2 linked regions of the Neodiprion lecontei genome follow. The protein of the gene in region 1 interacts with the protein of each later gene in a biochemical or structural test. Links are inferred from orthologs where the notes say so. Each region holds a gene or a part of one and is shown in the gene's direction. Other genes may lie near its edges.

Region 1 (7,834 bases):
GGAGACGAGGAACGATGCACTAGATCTGTTGATACACCGGTGAATAATTAAACTACGTCTATTACTAATACTACTGCTACGCATAAAGAGGCTAGGCGGAGGAAGAGGGGCAAAACAAGAGACGACCGTCTCCGACCGGAGGACCGACCGACCGACCGACCGACTGTCCGACCGATCAAGACACAGTGCCGCGCACAAGAAGAGACAGACACCAGTCTGGATCTTAACTATGCGCCGCGTCGCTGAAACGCCGTGCCCAGGCAAGGCGTGTGGCCTGGCCTGGCCTGTTGCTTTTTCTTCAAGATTTTAGGTGGAGGGGAATATATGTACGTACGTAGGTGGGTAGGTACATAAGGATCTATCGTCGTGTTGGTGAGGAGGTGGAGGTAGCGGCGTTGCTAGCGTGATTGTAGTGTGGTGACCGCGGAGGAATCGACGACGATGGGTAGCAGCAGCAGCACCAGGAGCAGCGGCAGCGCGCGCACGCACATTCTCTTTCTTACGCGATAACAAGTAATTCCATTGTTGTTATCGATCCAGCGGAACTGTGAACATCGTTCAGATGTCTTGATACAACTGTAGTCCGATTGAACCGCTTACTTCACGATTCAACTTTTCTTTGTCAACCGCACAACGCTAGGAACGGTCCCCGTTTTATCATTCAGGGAATACACACTTGCTTGTTACAACCCTCCTGCTGCAGGTCACTAATTCCTACGCGGCACATACGATGGATCGCGATCGCCCCGACAACGCTACCTCCTCTAAACCCTACCGCCATACTCTACGAGCACCGCACGCACACTGATCACGGCTGGCTCGCCGAGAGTAGTTTGGATTTCCGACGAGAGGCTTACGTGCTCGCCTGCTAGCCTGCCCGTTAAACGATACACCGCTCACTTCGGACTCGTAGACGCGGGAGTTTCGAAAATCCATGATTTGGAAGAGAGATAATCGAACGCTTGTTTGCAACAATTACAATGTTCGAAAGCTGACGAGTTGAACATAGGTTCTGATCTAAATATCAAAGTCCACCTATCTCACACACGAACGAAGGATTAACAGCCCTATTTTGTACGCTATTTCGAACAAAAACACTCCAATACATTTTCATTTGATGCAGAAATAAAGAAATATATGGTATGAATTCTACGATTTGACTGTTCGATTTCGTAGAATCTGGGCCATTTCTTTATTTCTGCGTCAAATGAAAAATGTCTAGGACTGTTTTTGTTCAGAACTGTGTATAAAATAAGGCTATTAAGTATTTTTTCGTTTTCGAGATACGTGGCCTTTGATATTTGGAGATATATCCGTGAACGTTGAAATCGAACAGGGCATCTAGGGAGAAATAGAATATGATCAGACGTAACCGATTTTTGCATCACGGTAACATCGGTCTTAATTGGCATCGTAATTCTGTTTTTCTTCTTTCTCTTCCCTCGTAGGCTATCCTCTGTACCGTTATTCAGGATGAGAATAATACCGTGTGAAAAGCCACTCTTATTTAGGCACAGATAAAAAGTCTCCGATTGTTACTTGCAAGAATATCGATGATTAATGTGTTTCATAATTGATTAATTTTCCTTCATACGGTAGCTGTGATTAAAGATAATGAGTTGTAAAGACCTTTCGACTGTAAAATGCTCGATTGAAACGCTTGAAACGTTTGAAACTTTGACTGAAGTAATTATTCGGCCCCTCACTCTGACATCAGTCGGAGTTATAATGAACTAAGGCAGTCTAACTATACAGCTAGTCAATAAATATATATTTGCTTCGGTTACAGACAAATAAGAGTTGAAAGTCTATGGACGTCTTGATCAAGGGTTTCGATATTTCAGTTGTGGTTAAAATTAATTTTATTGTCAAAAAATGTAATATTAGTTATTTGAATTGAATATGATTTTATTATCAACGTATAGTGTATTTTTGACGTATTAGTTCGTTATTTGCGTAGTGAATGTGTGTTCTTTTTTTTTTATCCAAGTTAATATTAGACTGACGTAAAAACGAAGATGTCTTCTAAAAGGTATATATGTATATTTATTTAATTGTTTTCCTTTTTTTTATCTGGACCCGAATGAATCCTACCCTTATATGTATGCGTCAAAATAGTTCCAATTTTCGAAATGATGCCGACGATTCAAAACAATAATTAGAAAGACAGTTAAGCTGTAAATTATTCCAAACAATCTCCATTTCACTCGAAAATTACATATTTACAAATTAGCAATAACAGTACTATCGAAAACCTAAAATTGTTTTCTTTCTTTGTTAACCTTTGTCACTGTAAACTACTCTTCATTGCTTACTCCGTTCACAATATATTTGTTATGTTCTTCAACCGATTAAGTTGCATTAATGAATTTCATACATGTCTAGTCTGACTCCAAGGTCCATTCTCTCAAGGAATGAACTAACGGAAAAATATATTCCCACTCCAAACTTGCCTTTGGGTCAATCTTTATTTTACTTCTCAGGTTTTGCAAACAGATAGTATGTACGCAAATCTTGTCAAATATTTACAATACGTCATTCCAATCTCTAATGAACCACCTTTGATTTAAGTCCAACCTCTATGTCTGTCAAACATGACATTGGATTACTTTATTTTTAGAAACAATATGACAAAGCCATCTTACAATCAGAGAGATTAAAATTTTGAACAGACGCTAAAAAATTCCTTCTACCTTTACAGTGAGTTGAAAAAGTTATCCGAGGAAAGCTTGACACGACAACCCGAAGAGGTTTTTGACATAATCTGCAAGCTTGGTGAAGGGTGAGCGTTACTTTGAGAGAATTCTACTTAGTAATCTAATTATTAGTGTGCCATACTAATTTAGTATAATTTGGATGTCTTTTAAGATATGGCTCAATGTTTGTTTCAGATCTTATGGTTCCGTTTATAAAGCATTGCACAAAGAGAGCGGGCAGGTGCTTGCGATCAAGCAAGTACCTGTGGATACGGATTTACAGGAGATAATAAAGGAGATTTCAATAATGCAGCAATGCGATTCACCGTATGTAGTGAAATACTATGGAAGTTACTTCAAGAACACGGATTTATGGGTATGAATTGAATTTCGTGAGTTACGTGAATGTTATCGGTTCGAACAATGATAGTGAAATGATTTGTTATTACAGATTGTTATGGAGTATTGTGGCGCCGGTTCTGTCAGTGATATAATGAGGCTGAGGAAGAAAACCCTGCAAGAGGATGAGATAGCTACGATATTATGTGATACTCTTAAGGGTCTTGAATACCTCCATCTTAGGAGGAAAATCCACAGGGACATCAAAGCCGGAAACATCTTACTCAATACTGAGGGGCATGCTAAGCTGGCTGATTTTGGTGTAGCTGGACAGTTAACGGTGAAACAAATTAACAAAGAAACAGAAAAATTTGACACCTAATTAGACGGAAAGCAAAGAAAAAAAAAAAATTCATCCACATTTACTTACAATCAGTGTTGCGAATTTTAAAAAAATGTTGGCCCACTTGTTTATAGGATACTATGGCTAAGCGCAACACTGTTATCGGAACTCCGTTCTGGATGGCACCGGAGGTAATTCAGGAGATTGGATACGATTGCGTCGCGGATATATGGTCATTGGGTATAACAGCTCTAGAAATGGCAGAAGGAAAGCCACCATATGGTGACATTCATCCAATGCGTGCAATTTTCATGATCCCCACCAAACCCCCACCAAGTTTTAGAGAACCTGACAAATGGAGTGCAGAGTTCATAGAATTCGTTAGTGGCTGTCTCGTCAAAAACCCTGAAGAAAGGGCGACAGCCACTGAACTGCTCAGTCATGAATTTATAGGTAGTCGTACTGTGTTTCATGCAAGTAATTGAATTAAGTCTCAAGTCAGTAATTAATGAAACAACCCGAATCACGATACATGTAACTCAGGACTGCCTTGACATTTTTTTATAGTATGAGTTTTACATATCAAAAACAAACAAATTCAAATTTAATACCAATGACAATAAATATCTTTGATATACTTGTTAACAAAACTCAGGTTTTCTTTTACTTATATCAATTTCACTATTGAACTGTTGAAGGCAATGCGAAGCAGCCAAGTATCCTTAGTCAAATGATAGCGGAGGCACATGAAATTAGAGAAAAACAGACCAACCGAGCACACGTTATTAATAATGTGGCTATTAAGGGAAAAAATCATGCTGATGATTCGGTAAAAAATACTTCCATCTCGATTCACTACTCAACAATTTACAAAGTCAATTATTTTTTCACATTGCTCATTGAATTTTCTCACCTGAAGGACGAAGAAGACTGCAGTGGAACTATGAAACCCCTTCCAGAAGATGTCGGGACCTTGGTACCAGGTGTAGATCTCCCTGACACAGGCACTCTAGTTTCTGCAATGTTGGATCTAGGAACAATGGTTATTAATAGTGACACGGACACAGAAGCAACGATGAAAAGTGGGTATACTGCTTTTGACTTATGGAGCAAGACATTGTCTTCAAATGGTTAATTTACCTTCTACAGGGCATAACACAGGATCAGTGGAGTCTGGAAAGAAGTATCGTCCCTTATTTCTTGATCATTTTGACAAGAAGGAAGCAACTGAGATTGGCAATGTGAGTTCAAATTTATTGTAACTTTCTCAGTGTTCCGTTTTTGTTATGGAGTATTGGCACTTTTAAAGGAGATTTTGTTTCTTATTCTCAGGACAATGGCCACATTCTTGCCGCACATAGTACAGAAACAGAACCTAAAGTGGAACAACAGAGTCCAACAGAATCTCAAAGGTTTCAAAGCCATCTACAGCTACAACTCAATCAAATATCATGTCCTGTGCAAGAGCCGGCTCACAATAACATATCGAAATTTCAAAATGCCTTCACAGAACGAGACTTTGATTTTGTAAGTATATTCTTAAATTTTTCCCACTGTAAAGAATAACAAACTTTCTACTGCATAATTGACGTCAATAGATACATTTGGATCATGGGAAGACCCATCAGCTTCATTATTGAAATTATAACTAAACATGTTTCAATATAAATGTATTTAAAAAACGCAGTCATAGGCATCATAACGAAAATTCAATATAGATAAACAAGCATGTCCTTCAGCTGAAGTTCCTCTCATACGAGGAGCTGCAGCAACGCATGGCCAGCCTGGATGCAGAAATGGAACGTGAGATAGATGAATTAAGACGGAGGTACCAGACAAAGAGGCAGCCAATTCTTGATGCCATGGATACCAAGCGAAAGCGTCAGCAAAACTTCTAACGCTTCGGTATAGTTTTATTGATATACACATATTTTTTTTAAACTTTGTTTCCTAATTGTTTTCTGCTAGACGAAGTAATAGAATCGAGCGTGATAGAGAGATAAAAAGTGTGTACAGTTGTATAAATGAATGAATAGATTATAATTATGCGTTCTCAAAACCTAGTTTCACTAATAAAAATTCATTATATTCTATTTTTTAATACCTCATTAAAAAAAAAAGAACTGCAATAAAATTTCTCTAGTAATGAATATTTTTTTCGTGAATCTAGGGATCTACAATCTATTATAATATTATTAGTGTAATAGCGATACGTCACTCAATGTAAATTATTTTACACAAATTAAATATGGAATCGCAACTATACTTAATTTTTTTACTACATATGTTAACTTTACTTACTGTTATACAAACAATATTCTTATAGAAACATTATATACACGAATTAAATATAAAGTCAATTTAGAAAATAAATCGTGTCCAGTATCATCGGTTGATTCAAGTGAATCCGTTTTTTTCAATCATTGTTATTCATATTAAACCGAAAATTGTACTACATGCAATTACATTTTTACCATTTTACTATTTACCCAGCACATATCTGATATCACATTTTTTAATAGTAGTGGTGTCGTGATTTAAAAATTTACCGATGAAATATTAACATTATTTGTTCTTAATAACCCTTTGTCGCACTGTTTTACGATATGAAAGATTGAATTACTTTGATATTCAGGCACATATTTTTTTTATCCTCAAACCAAATGGTCACTGCTAAAGGTAACACTTTGAAAGTTATTTATTTCAACGAACACATGTACCGGCGTACTAAAAAACATATAGTTTGAGGTGAGTTGTTTTGTTTTTTCCGTTTGTACATAATATTGTGTACATATACGATTTGCTATTGGGATGCATCTAATACAACGCCGAGAGTAGCTAGATTTTTTACTCAGGTGAAAATACGTCTTATTCAATGCTGACCGAAGTTTTAAAAAAAAATCTTTTAATCTAGCAACATTAACTTGCCTTTATTTGATTTGCAGTATGACGCTTCAGGCTAATGTTTGCACGAGAAACTGTCTTGCCCGACGCCTGAGCATGCTTACATACATATGTATACCCATATCAACGTGTCGACATTGCGCTTCAAGCATTGTAAAACAATGGATCTCTGCTACCTGCACATCCCGGTGATCTTGCTGGCCAAGTTTTGTCCTTATGAAGGCAGAGAAGTGTATCGGATGGGTTTCGAATTGTCTTGAATAATATTGTTGCGTAACTTTCCCATGATCAGCTCATTTTAGAAGTATGCACTTTTAGTACGCGGTGAGTTTTTTTTTTAAATCGACAAAACAGATATCACCCAATACATATCTCGTAACTCAATAACTAGCATTTAATAGTTTTAGTTTGAGTGATTCTGCACTTACACTACCTACCATACATACCGATGTGCCAAAAAAAAAAACACAAACAACAAAACAAAAAGAAAACAACAAATAAGTAGAGATGGAGAAGGATAGATTTCTAATTTCGTATGGATAGGTAAGACAATAGATTCGCACCTCCCGTAGTATGCATAAGCTTTTAATCATTGAGTCCGTGATGCAGGAAATTTCCGGATTATAGTGAGATTGAAAACAGTTTCGTGTCACAAATGATGACAATGAGGTCGAGTATCTCAATTTATAAACTGGCAGTATTCATCGATATACTAATTACAAATGACTTATTCGAGTTTTTTTGCAATTGATTTGTCTATCAGGTTTGGAGGGATATCTAAATATTTGCCTTATTGAAGTAAATATCATCAGGTATAGCAGCACGAATCAATTTTGAAATAATGAAATATCAAATTGGAGTTATAAAAATAAAGTGTATCAACGACGTTGCACTATTTTTTTAGATAATAAATATGTAGTATTATATAGTTAACCATATAGTCAAACTGACATTAGTACACGTACTTTTTTCACTAAGAACACATAATCACGGATAGAATAATCTTGTATATTTTTATACCTACGTAGAAATCGTGTACCATTGTAAAGTTGTATTACTTTACAACGTCCACCTTTGTCAAAATCTTTTCCAGAATTTATTTATTACTTTTTTTTTAAGTCAATCTAGTGCAGATGACGTTGACTGTGAATTTTTTTTTTTTTTTATAGCATTACATTTAATATAGGTTTGCATATTTGTATGGAAGTGAATAAACCAATGTGCTCTCATATTGAATATTATAATTTAATTAATGAGAAATACCTCCTAAGTTAACATTGCTGTATCACCAACAGGCATTAGATGATAGTAAAATTTTACGTATTTAGTATAAATATAAAAATTTATTCATTTTGCGTATTTTTACAAATAATAATTATAAAATTGCGTTATTCCAGAAAATATCTTGTGGCAAACAGTTCTCTGTTCTACGTGCTTCCTAATATTTATAATGAAAACTATCATAGTATTGTACGCTGTTATTTCCTTAGATAAATTGGTACATTAATTTATTACAAGTATTGGCATCAAACTTTAGTGGCAATATTTCGAA
Region 2 (8,540 bases), on another chromosome or scaffold:
ATCTTCAGAACGATTTTATTCTTAATATTTTTTATACTTGAAAGCTCTTGATGTCCAGCCTACTGCAAAAATTTATTAGTGATTCCATTTCAATTTCACTAAAAGTTCAACGGTAGCTAAACTATAAAGCAGGAAAATTGAGGGAAATTGATTAAAAAATTTACTGAGATAATAAGCATTATTATTTATATTTGCAGCGGATCTTTGTTTCTCGTGCTGCTGTTTAGCGGATCGTGGTTTAAAATTGTTCGAATTTCAAATTCTGCCGTAACGACCAACATCAATTCTCCCGCGACTCACGTGGTAAGGTGTCAACTTTTTGATCGATAGCCTAAAATCTATCATAATTGTGTGATAATTAGCTCCGAAAATATGAAATAATGATTAAAAATTGAAGAATCTCGTAGGACCGATGAGAAAATCGACCAAAGTTTAGACATTTAGGTATATCCAAAAAATACATGCTTTCAGTGTGCACGCGGCGTTGATTAAAGGCAGGCGCGTAGTTAGGTGATCCAGAGATTAGCGCCGGGCGATAGGTGCGCTTTATTATTAAAATTGTAAATTGATAACGAGGTGATTACAACAGGATTACATAAAAAGCAGGGCGTACGTGAGAACTTTCATGCTCACAATATTAACGGATATTTTGAGACGCAACCACTGTTCACGTGTTCATATCTCGGTTAAGTATCAGGGTGTGGCGCCTTCCACATCCGTTCCTATCGCTGTCGAGCATACCATATTTTTAATTTAATATATAAAGCTCAGGAAAATATGATTATTAACAAGACAAGATGATCTGTTTTTTCTTCATTTGATAACCGCACTGACGGCCGTTGTGGGGACGGAAATTACGCGATATTCTTACACGGCGTCATTTTTGAATGATGAATACATCGACATACCTCGAAGTATAATTCGAGCGCCAAAAAAGACGGGAGGGGCCCAAGGACAATGAATATAAAGACATCGCTTGAAATGAGCTGATGACGGTCGATTCTAAGAAATTGTGATACGCAATATATTGCCGCTTCGTTCATTTATATTTATTTTCGCAATTTCCGCCTTTAATCGCTTTACTCGCGAAAATATAATAATATCCTTCAATATATTGCATAAAAGACACCTGATGCCCCTTGGATCGTTTCCACGTCATTTATAAATGATTTTTCATCTATTACGATTATATTGCGTCTATTATACAAAGCGAATAATTAATCCTTCTGTAGCTTACATATATCTATCTATGTGTTGCTGACGTAGTTGATATTAAGTGTGATTGTATAATCGTAGAGCCAGGCACGGAGTGCACGGACGCATGTCATTTGTTTTTTCCGATATTTTTTTGAAAACGGTTTATTGCAAGAAACATTAAGGAAGACAAATAAACAGTGGATCAACTGTTTTGAGAAATGTAAAATATAATTTGATTTGTAAAAATATAATGTTCAAAATTCACAAAGAATTGCAGATAGGTAAGTCATCATTTTACTGCGGATTTTTTCCAGTACATAATATTGTAGATAAAAATGCTACCGCAGTGCGATAACGAATATTGGAATTTGTGCAAGATTATACAGCTGATTGTGAGTGAATGACCCCGAAATATATTATATATTTTCTATGCATACAATGACGAACGAATAACGAGGAATTTACCGGATGTACAATATCTGACCACATATCTTCGTAAATAAAGCTGATATTTTCGCTAATCGTATTACTCATTCGCATTCATTTTCATTATCTAAGTCCTACAGCCGCAGACCTGGTTCATCTGTTAATGCGCAAGGTCTTGTACCTACTAATTATCACATGCAAAGTAGTTTAAATAAGACTGTGATTTTTCGAATGAAATGATAATACTAAGAATAGCGTCAAATAAACACGCCTTATATTGGGCTTGTGTGAAATAGTACATGGAAAATACAACCGATCATATTTCAATGTCGTATTATTCGAATGATTCAAAGTAGAACAGTCGATACTCGCAGAAATTGAGCACAGGAGAAAATCGATTTTTAGGGCTATTTGTGCTGGTCCAGAAGGGTCGAACGATCGCATGCTCCGACTTATAACCGATACGAGAACTTTGCGGTCCGTCTTATCGATCCCAGTCGACGTCGGTAAAACAGAACTAAAAGCGATCGAGCACACGGAAATATTTACTCAAAAACCTTCCCGCGTGAATGTTCGTGCTGTGTTACAAGTCCACGATTTCCTCAGTGACTCGTTGAACTGCAGCATAGTGAAACGATCGCGTTCGTTGCTCGTGTTCGCCTCACGGTAAGCTTGCATGGCCTATAATACTATTTTAAAATCGCGGTTATAAAATTATTATATCCGCCGGAAGTTGAGTGATCATAACGCGCCGCCAGCTGGGTGTGTCATACAAATATTCGCTATACTCGGCAAAAAAAAACTTATCGCGTTCCACGATGTTAAAATTACCAGTTTGAACAGCCTTTGTGTTAAATACCAAAAGACTCGGTATATATATAATCTCCAGTCAATTAAACAAACTTCGAGCCGTGACCGATAGATTCGCAGAAACGTCAAGATAATCAAACCAAAAATATTATTTTCTTGAGAACAGTCTACAGCTTATATCGATGACACTTCACACCTTATCGTCGATACGTCGATAATCGCTTTGTCCGCATACAAAATCACCCGTCGAAATATCGAACGAAATCAGAAATTACGTCGAAACGACAGATGGTGTAGTTTCGTTCTCAATCTTTCGCGATAGTGGTTACGCTATCTGCTATCCATTCGTTAGTTAACGATTTTTCGACGCTCGAACATGCACCCGCCATTTCAAAATTCAATGAAGCTCGAGGGCGGGCAGGAAGGGAGGGGGAAAGGAATTCCTCTTTTTTTTTCCTCGAACTGAGACCCTTTCCGTTGGGCTTCCCAGCACCCGTCAATGGGGCCTTTGTACCTACGCTCGACTCCGTTCGTGCGTTTGTACCTCGTGTATGAGAGCGTGTGACTCGACGTCACGTCGCGGTGAATGTAAATAACTTAGCCTGGCTCATATCATTATTGTTATAGACAAGGCAGGCAGCTGTACACGCACACACAAACACAGCTATACCGTTGGTTGCACACATTGTCGAGGCTTCACGAGATTCTGAATAATCGCCCACGTCATCGAAATTCTGCCGGTTGGTGATATGCGTAATGAAATCATGCATTCTGCCATATCGTTTCTTTTCATTCCTTTGCAATCATTTCCTGATTGTTGTTATATCGTTTCATGTACTACCGGTAACTAATGAACGTCAGCGTGCATCAATCGGTCGTCTATATACCCTTGTAAATACATACCTACCGTATGCCTTACATGCATGCAACATTCATCCTCGGCATGATCTCGTCTCACAGAAAGAAATCCCGGGCCGTGGTATGTGGAGATATAACATTTTCTACACACACAACGCTTTCACATCCTGTTGGTAGGGGAATGATACGTCGGGATAGGTTTGTGACTACAGAGCTCAAGAACTCTGTAATCTGCTTCGCAACCGACTGAAATTATCGTCGTTGTAATTTTTCGAAATAATTATCCTGGAAATTGTATCATGCTGTTAAACGTAGAAGTGAAATCGGTTTTCCTCAACTCCGACTCACCAGATATACCACAAAAATTATAAATAAGGAAATAAAATATATAAATGTATATTTTCCATATTTTTTCTCTATTACCAACGTTCTCGTAGATATTTCGAAACAAGAAAAAGTCGAGTCTTTCATAATCACTGAACATTAATCGTATATTTTATTTAACCGAGATGTAAAACACCAGCGTAGTTGGAAGGACAGTGTCAAATTTAATCGGCACCGTGACTGTAAAGGTCACCTTTTTTTCTCCGAACTCATTTTATCCAACATTATTTATATCTAGAGTCGAGGTAATCGCTATATACGGATCAACAAATGCGCGTAAACTTGATTCCGTTCTGCGTGGGATTCCGTAATGAAAAGAAAAGAAAAAAAAAGACAGAGAAAAAAATAAGCCGTATTTGCTGAACATTAGCAAAATACCACAATGCTGGGTTAAAAACCCCATATAAGTATATTCCCAACAACTATTATATCCATACATAGTAGGTATACGTTTGTAGTAGTTCTACGAATTGAGAACGGAATACAGCGGATAACACAGGCGTATAGGTCACATACTATACGGTAAAAATCTATGATAAATCGAGTGATTTTGTCGGAAATTTTATTACTTGTCCGGTTCTTCTGCAAAATATGTAACGTTTTTACTAACAACGGTGAGTAAAACATCTACAGAGTATGCGATAAAAATTGTTGTATAAATAGAGAGAGAGAGAGAGAGGTGAGAGAGAAAAGGTCTTGATATGGTTGATAGGACGCATCCTGACTACCCACGGACGAACTCGAGAGTTTGGCAACGTTGCCGGATCGAAAACTTTCTGTCTTGTTAGGCTTCGCGCGTGTGTGCGCCTATATACGTACAAGCCCGCCGCTACGCGCCGTACGCTCGCCCAGGCGCCTCACGACCGCTGCACAACCTAGAGTACGAGAACGAGACGCCAGGCAAATTCAGGCGGTAGTTTCACACAACCGTACCACTCGATCCCGCTCTCTCTCCGCTTTGTAAGGCCTGCGCGAAGCGCGATCGTCATAGCCGCATACCCGACATGGAAGTACCCGAGTCCTCGCGCGTTCTGCGGTTTTAAAACATTGATAAATTCATTGTAAATTCACCTCGGTCATCGATCATTCTACGTACGTATTTATCGTGCCCGATGACGTCTCTGGAACAATAACAAATTTCAAAATTACCGTAAGTTTATTGTTTCTTTCCCTCGCCGCTAGACAACCTATTTACTTTTTATTTTCTTTTTATTTTTATTGTTATTATCATTATTATATCTTTTCTTACAACACCTTATAATTGCGAGATCGCGGTAAGTGTATTGACAAAGGTAAAAGTTGGCCGTGTCCGCCCATTCAAGCTCTTCCCCCATCCCCACCCCCCCGATCCCCTCCTCAACCCTTCTTTACCACTATTACGATCCCTTCCAGCGCCTCTTTGCGTAAAAATTAGTCGTACATCATTTTTGCCCCGGATGCGGACGTATGTTTTGTACATGCATACATGTTATTGTCGTTTAATTTTTATCCAAGTACCGGAAACTAAAGAAAGGTCACACAAAGTACGTTTTTGATTCCTGGGGTTCGCTTTATTGTAGAAAGAAGCAGCTGCGGCGATTTATTCAAAAGCGATGATACGGACTGTGTCGGCCTGTGCTAATTTAACGACAAAGAAAAACCGTTGATGCAGATTCGGACTTCTAAAACTCAGACTGAAAGCAAGCAAGAGTCTTTTTTGCTCATTTTCAATCCGTTAAAATTTCAATTGAATATTTTTTTTTTTCTCCTACTTAACACCAATTACTGCAAGTCCAAAACGTTGTTAGAACAAACAAAGATGATATACTAGAATCAAAAGAGGAATGACATAAGCACACAATGAGTAATACACAGAGAAAGGTGGGGATTCGAGTAGACAGAGATGCGAATGCACCGCTTGAGCAATAATAATAATATTAGTTTTCTTCTTGTTTGTCTTCAGATTCAGGTAAGCACCACAAAGATTGTCTTCAACACATTCTTTGCACATTTAACTGCCTTCAAATGACTGATTGCTGTCAGTCTCGTTATGGTGGGTACTCGGCGATGAACACGCCCGGGTTCAGAGACTCGCGGCGTTGCTGTCAACCACCCCTGCCGCCGTTACGTTGTGAACCTCCCGATGAAACAGACGATCGTAATGATTTCCGGTTTGAATCTGCGCGTAGAAGAAGCTTCGCAAATTGGCCGGTCAGGTTCATGGATCCGAAGAGATTGGCGGAGGCCGGGTTTTACTATCTCAACGAAGGTGATAAAGTAAGGTGTTTCGAATGTAAAATTGAAATTTGCAAGTGGGTCGAGGGTGACGATCCTCAATTCGAACACCAGAGATGGTCCGAAAGATGCAGATTTGTCAGGAGATTACCGTGCGGTAATGTACCTTACGGCACTGACGGTGCAAACATTTTTTCTGCTCCTCGAACCACAGACGTCTGTGGCCCCTATGGATTCAATGTTGAGTCGGAACTTGGACCCAACCTCAGCTCATCCCCACCGAACCTTCAGCATACCGTAAGCACTGCAACCCTTGGGAGCTGGGGGATCGGTATGCCCAAGGAGCCCAAACATCCACAATATGTCAGCCGCGACGCAAGGCTAAGGACCTTCAACTTTTGGCCAAAATCTATGAGACAGACGAAAGAGGAATTGGCTGATGCAGGATTTTTCTACACTGGCAAAGGAGATCAGACACTCTGCTACTACTGTGGTGGCGGTCTTAAAGATTGGGAGCCAACTGACAATGCATGGGAACAACACGCCCACTGGTTTTCCAAGTGCTTTTATCTATTCATGGTAAAAGGACAAGCCTTCATTGACCAAGTCAAAGGTCTCACCAGGGAACAGCCTTCAGCCGAGGTGAATATTATAACTTGCACCTTCTGCTGTCAAATAAAAAATATTTTTATGCCGAGGGTCATTAAATCAATCACTTTTGGAGAAAAAGCGTGTATCACTATTTGCCATTTCGTGATTTTGTAATTTTCTTTTCACTGTTATAAAACATTTCACTTACATTGCACCACTTTGTAAGATTGTGAAAGCATCGTTGGAGCGGGAAAAACTAATATCCAGGGTGTTTGTAGAAGTTAAAAGTTTGAAATACAAAGTGCCTGTTAAAGTTGGAGTTCAGTAAGAATGTACGTTTCCTTTCACAAAGTGCACAGAAGAGAATATTCATTGTAGTGGGTCTAAATATTTTAGACTTATTTATCTCATGTGAGTTCTTGAATACTTTTTTCAAAAGAAAATGATAGCCGGACGCAAACTTGAAAGCCTATTGTTTATCAAGTAATTCATTCTGCTTCCAGGAAGCGCAGAACTTGACTCTACCAAACTGCATAAAGAAGGTGGAGAGGCCTATAGAAGCTGAGCCTGAAGAACATTGTCCAATTGCTGAGACTGGCGAATCTGGAGAAAGTTGTAGTAAAAGTGGTTCATTAGAGTTGGGACCACATAAAAGCGAGGGTTCTATGCATCACAACCTGGAGAACGATGAAAAGAGAGCGGATGACGGAAGGCTTTGCAAAATTTGCTACACGGAAGAACTGGGAGTTGTATTTTTACCTTGTGGGCACATGGTAGCCTGTGTCAAGTGCGCGCCAAGTTTGACAACTTGTGCAGTATGCCGGAAACCTTTCACAATGACTGTGCGGGCTTACATTTCATAGCTTTTCATCATAAAATAAACTATAAATTCAACAAAATGCCAGAATAATGTCTAGCATTACTATACCTTTCGCCAAGACATGACTCTTGGCATATCAATGAAGTGAAGGCACAGTTCATCAAAGTTCAAAGACATTTTGTGATTTATTTTCTTTAGTTGCCAGCTGTTCTTATTGTCAATCAAGATCCTGAGAGCTGGAAGTTCGGATTGATCAGTCTTGCTTTAAAACATTAGACGCGTCATCTTTTATGTTTCTTTTCTTTTAGTTTTTTTTATTCCGTTCAAAACAATATTTTTTTTTCTCTGTGTCCCGAATTCGTTTTTCTTTTTCTCTGAAAATTTGATGAAGTTTATATATTTTGTATCTGAAGAAAAAGAAGAAAAAATTCGTAATCTTCAGCATATTCGGTACATTGTTTGTGATTGAGATACATTTCGTATCAAATATGTAATTGTGCCTCCGGCGAAAAATTACGACTGCTTGTGAAAACACTAACATGTTAACAAAATCAGTAACAATATCATTCTCGCTATACCTTTATACTAACCGATCCTTGATGTAATGTTCATGGCTTATATTCATACTGCACATAACACTATTTCGGTAATGAGATTTCTGTAGCAATTATATGTGATTCGGAAAACAAAGGCAATTGGACAAAGTAACATGAACAACATTATGTTTATTTTATTTATTTTTTTCAAAAAAATGTGTTTTCACTTTAAATGGGGAAAAATAGCAACTTGACTCTTGACTATGTACATATTCAAAGCACAATGATCTCATGAGAAATTGTGATTGGTAATTACTTACCACCCGGAATATTATTTTGGTTTAGAATTTTTTTTTTTTATTTAACGTAGTGATACAAAAACATAGGAGAGAGAATTAAATTTTCAAAAGCATTCACACTCACCTGTATATTACCAACTGGCATTTGCGGTATCATTCTAGTAAGCACTTAGTGCAAAATAAACAAGATCAAACTGTACACGTTGAACCAACTGTACAGTAAATAAATTATTAACTTTTGATCTACCTTAATAATTAAGCATTTAAGCAATTATTTAATTGATGATTTTTTTATTTATTTTTTTTTTTTTTTTTGCTGCTTCAATAATTTAAGGCTTTTATTCGCGGGAGTTGGATCCATGTTCCAAGGGACACCGAAAAAGGAATATAGTATCACACAAACGG

Evidence for each region. The genes of interacting proteins can lie anywhere in the genome.
Region 2: of the proteins of serine/threonine-protein kinase 3 (region 1) and death-associated inhibitor of apoptosis 1, one has a biochemical effect on the other in vitro, tested with the Drosophila melanogaster proteins (2 studies listed by BioGRID). The link is inferred for Neodiprion lecontei from reciprocal best matches to the Drosophila melanogaster genes hpo and Diap1.

The regions. Positions count from the first base shown.
Region 1 is NC_060261.1:34,662,287-34,670,120, reverse strand, and holds serine/threonine-protein kinase 3, read left to right. Parts: upstream 1-2,362; 5' UTR 2,363-2,377; coding exon 2,378-2,499; intron 2,500-2,701; coding exon 2,702-2,782; intron 2,783-2,891; coding exon 2,892-3,072; intron 3,073-3,147; coding exon 3,148-3,375; intron 3,376-3,512; coding exon 3,513-3,831; coding exon of another isoform or gene 3,832-3,834; intron 3,835-4,073; coding exon 4,074-4,207; intron 4,208-4,297; coding exon 4,298-4,460; intron 4,461-4,527; coding exon 4,528-4,619; intron 4,620-4,710; coding exon 4,711-4,905; intron 4,906-5,096; coding exon 5,097-5,276; 3' UTR 5,277-5,283; exon of another isoform or gene 5,284-5,643; intron 5,644-6,323; 3' UTR 6,324-6,812; downstream 6,813-7,834. UniProt on the Drosophila melanogaster protein: Plays a key role in the Hippo/SWH (Sav/Wts/Hpo) signaling pathway, a signaling pathway that plays a pivotal role in organ size control and tumor suppression by restricting proliferation and promoting apoptosis.
Region 2 is NC_060266.1:19,436,277-19,444,816, forward strand, and holds the start of death-associated inhibitor of apoptosis 1, read left to right. Parts: upstream 1-1,763; 5' UTR 1,764-2,065; coding exon 2,066-2,289; intron 2,290-3,060; coding exon 3,061-3,173; intron 3,174-3,695; exon of another isoform or gene 3,696-4,825; intron 4,826-4,931; exon of another isoform or gene 4,932-5,535; intron 5,536-5,617; coding exon 5,618-6,531; intron 6,532-6,983; coding exon 6,984-7,343; 3' UTR 7,344-8,540. UniProt on the Drosophila melanogaster protein: Anti-apoptotic protein which functions as a caspase regulator, using its E3 ubiquitin-protein ligase activity to smother caspase activity. Binds, ubiquitinates and inactivates initiator caspase Dronc, and effector caspases Drice and Dcp-1.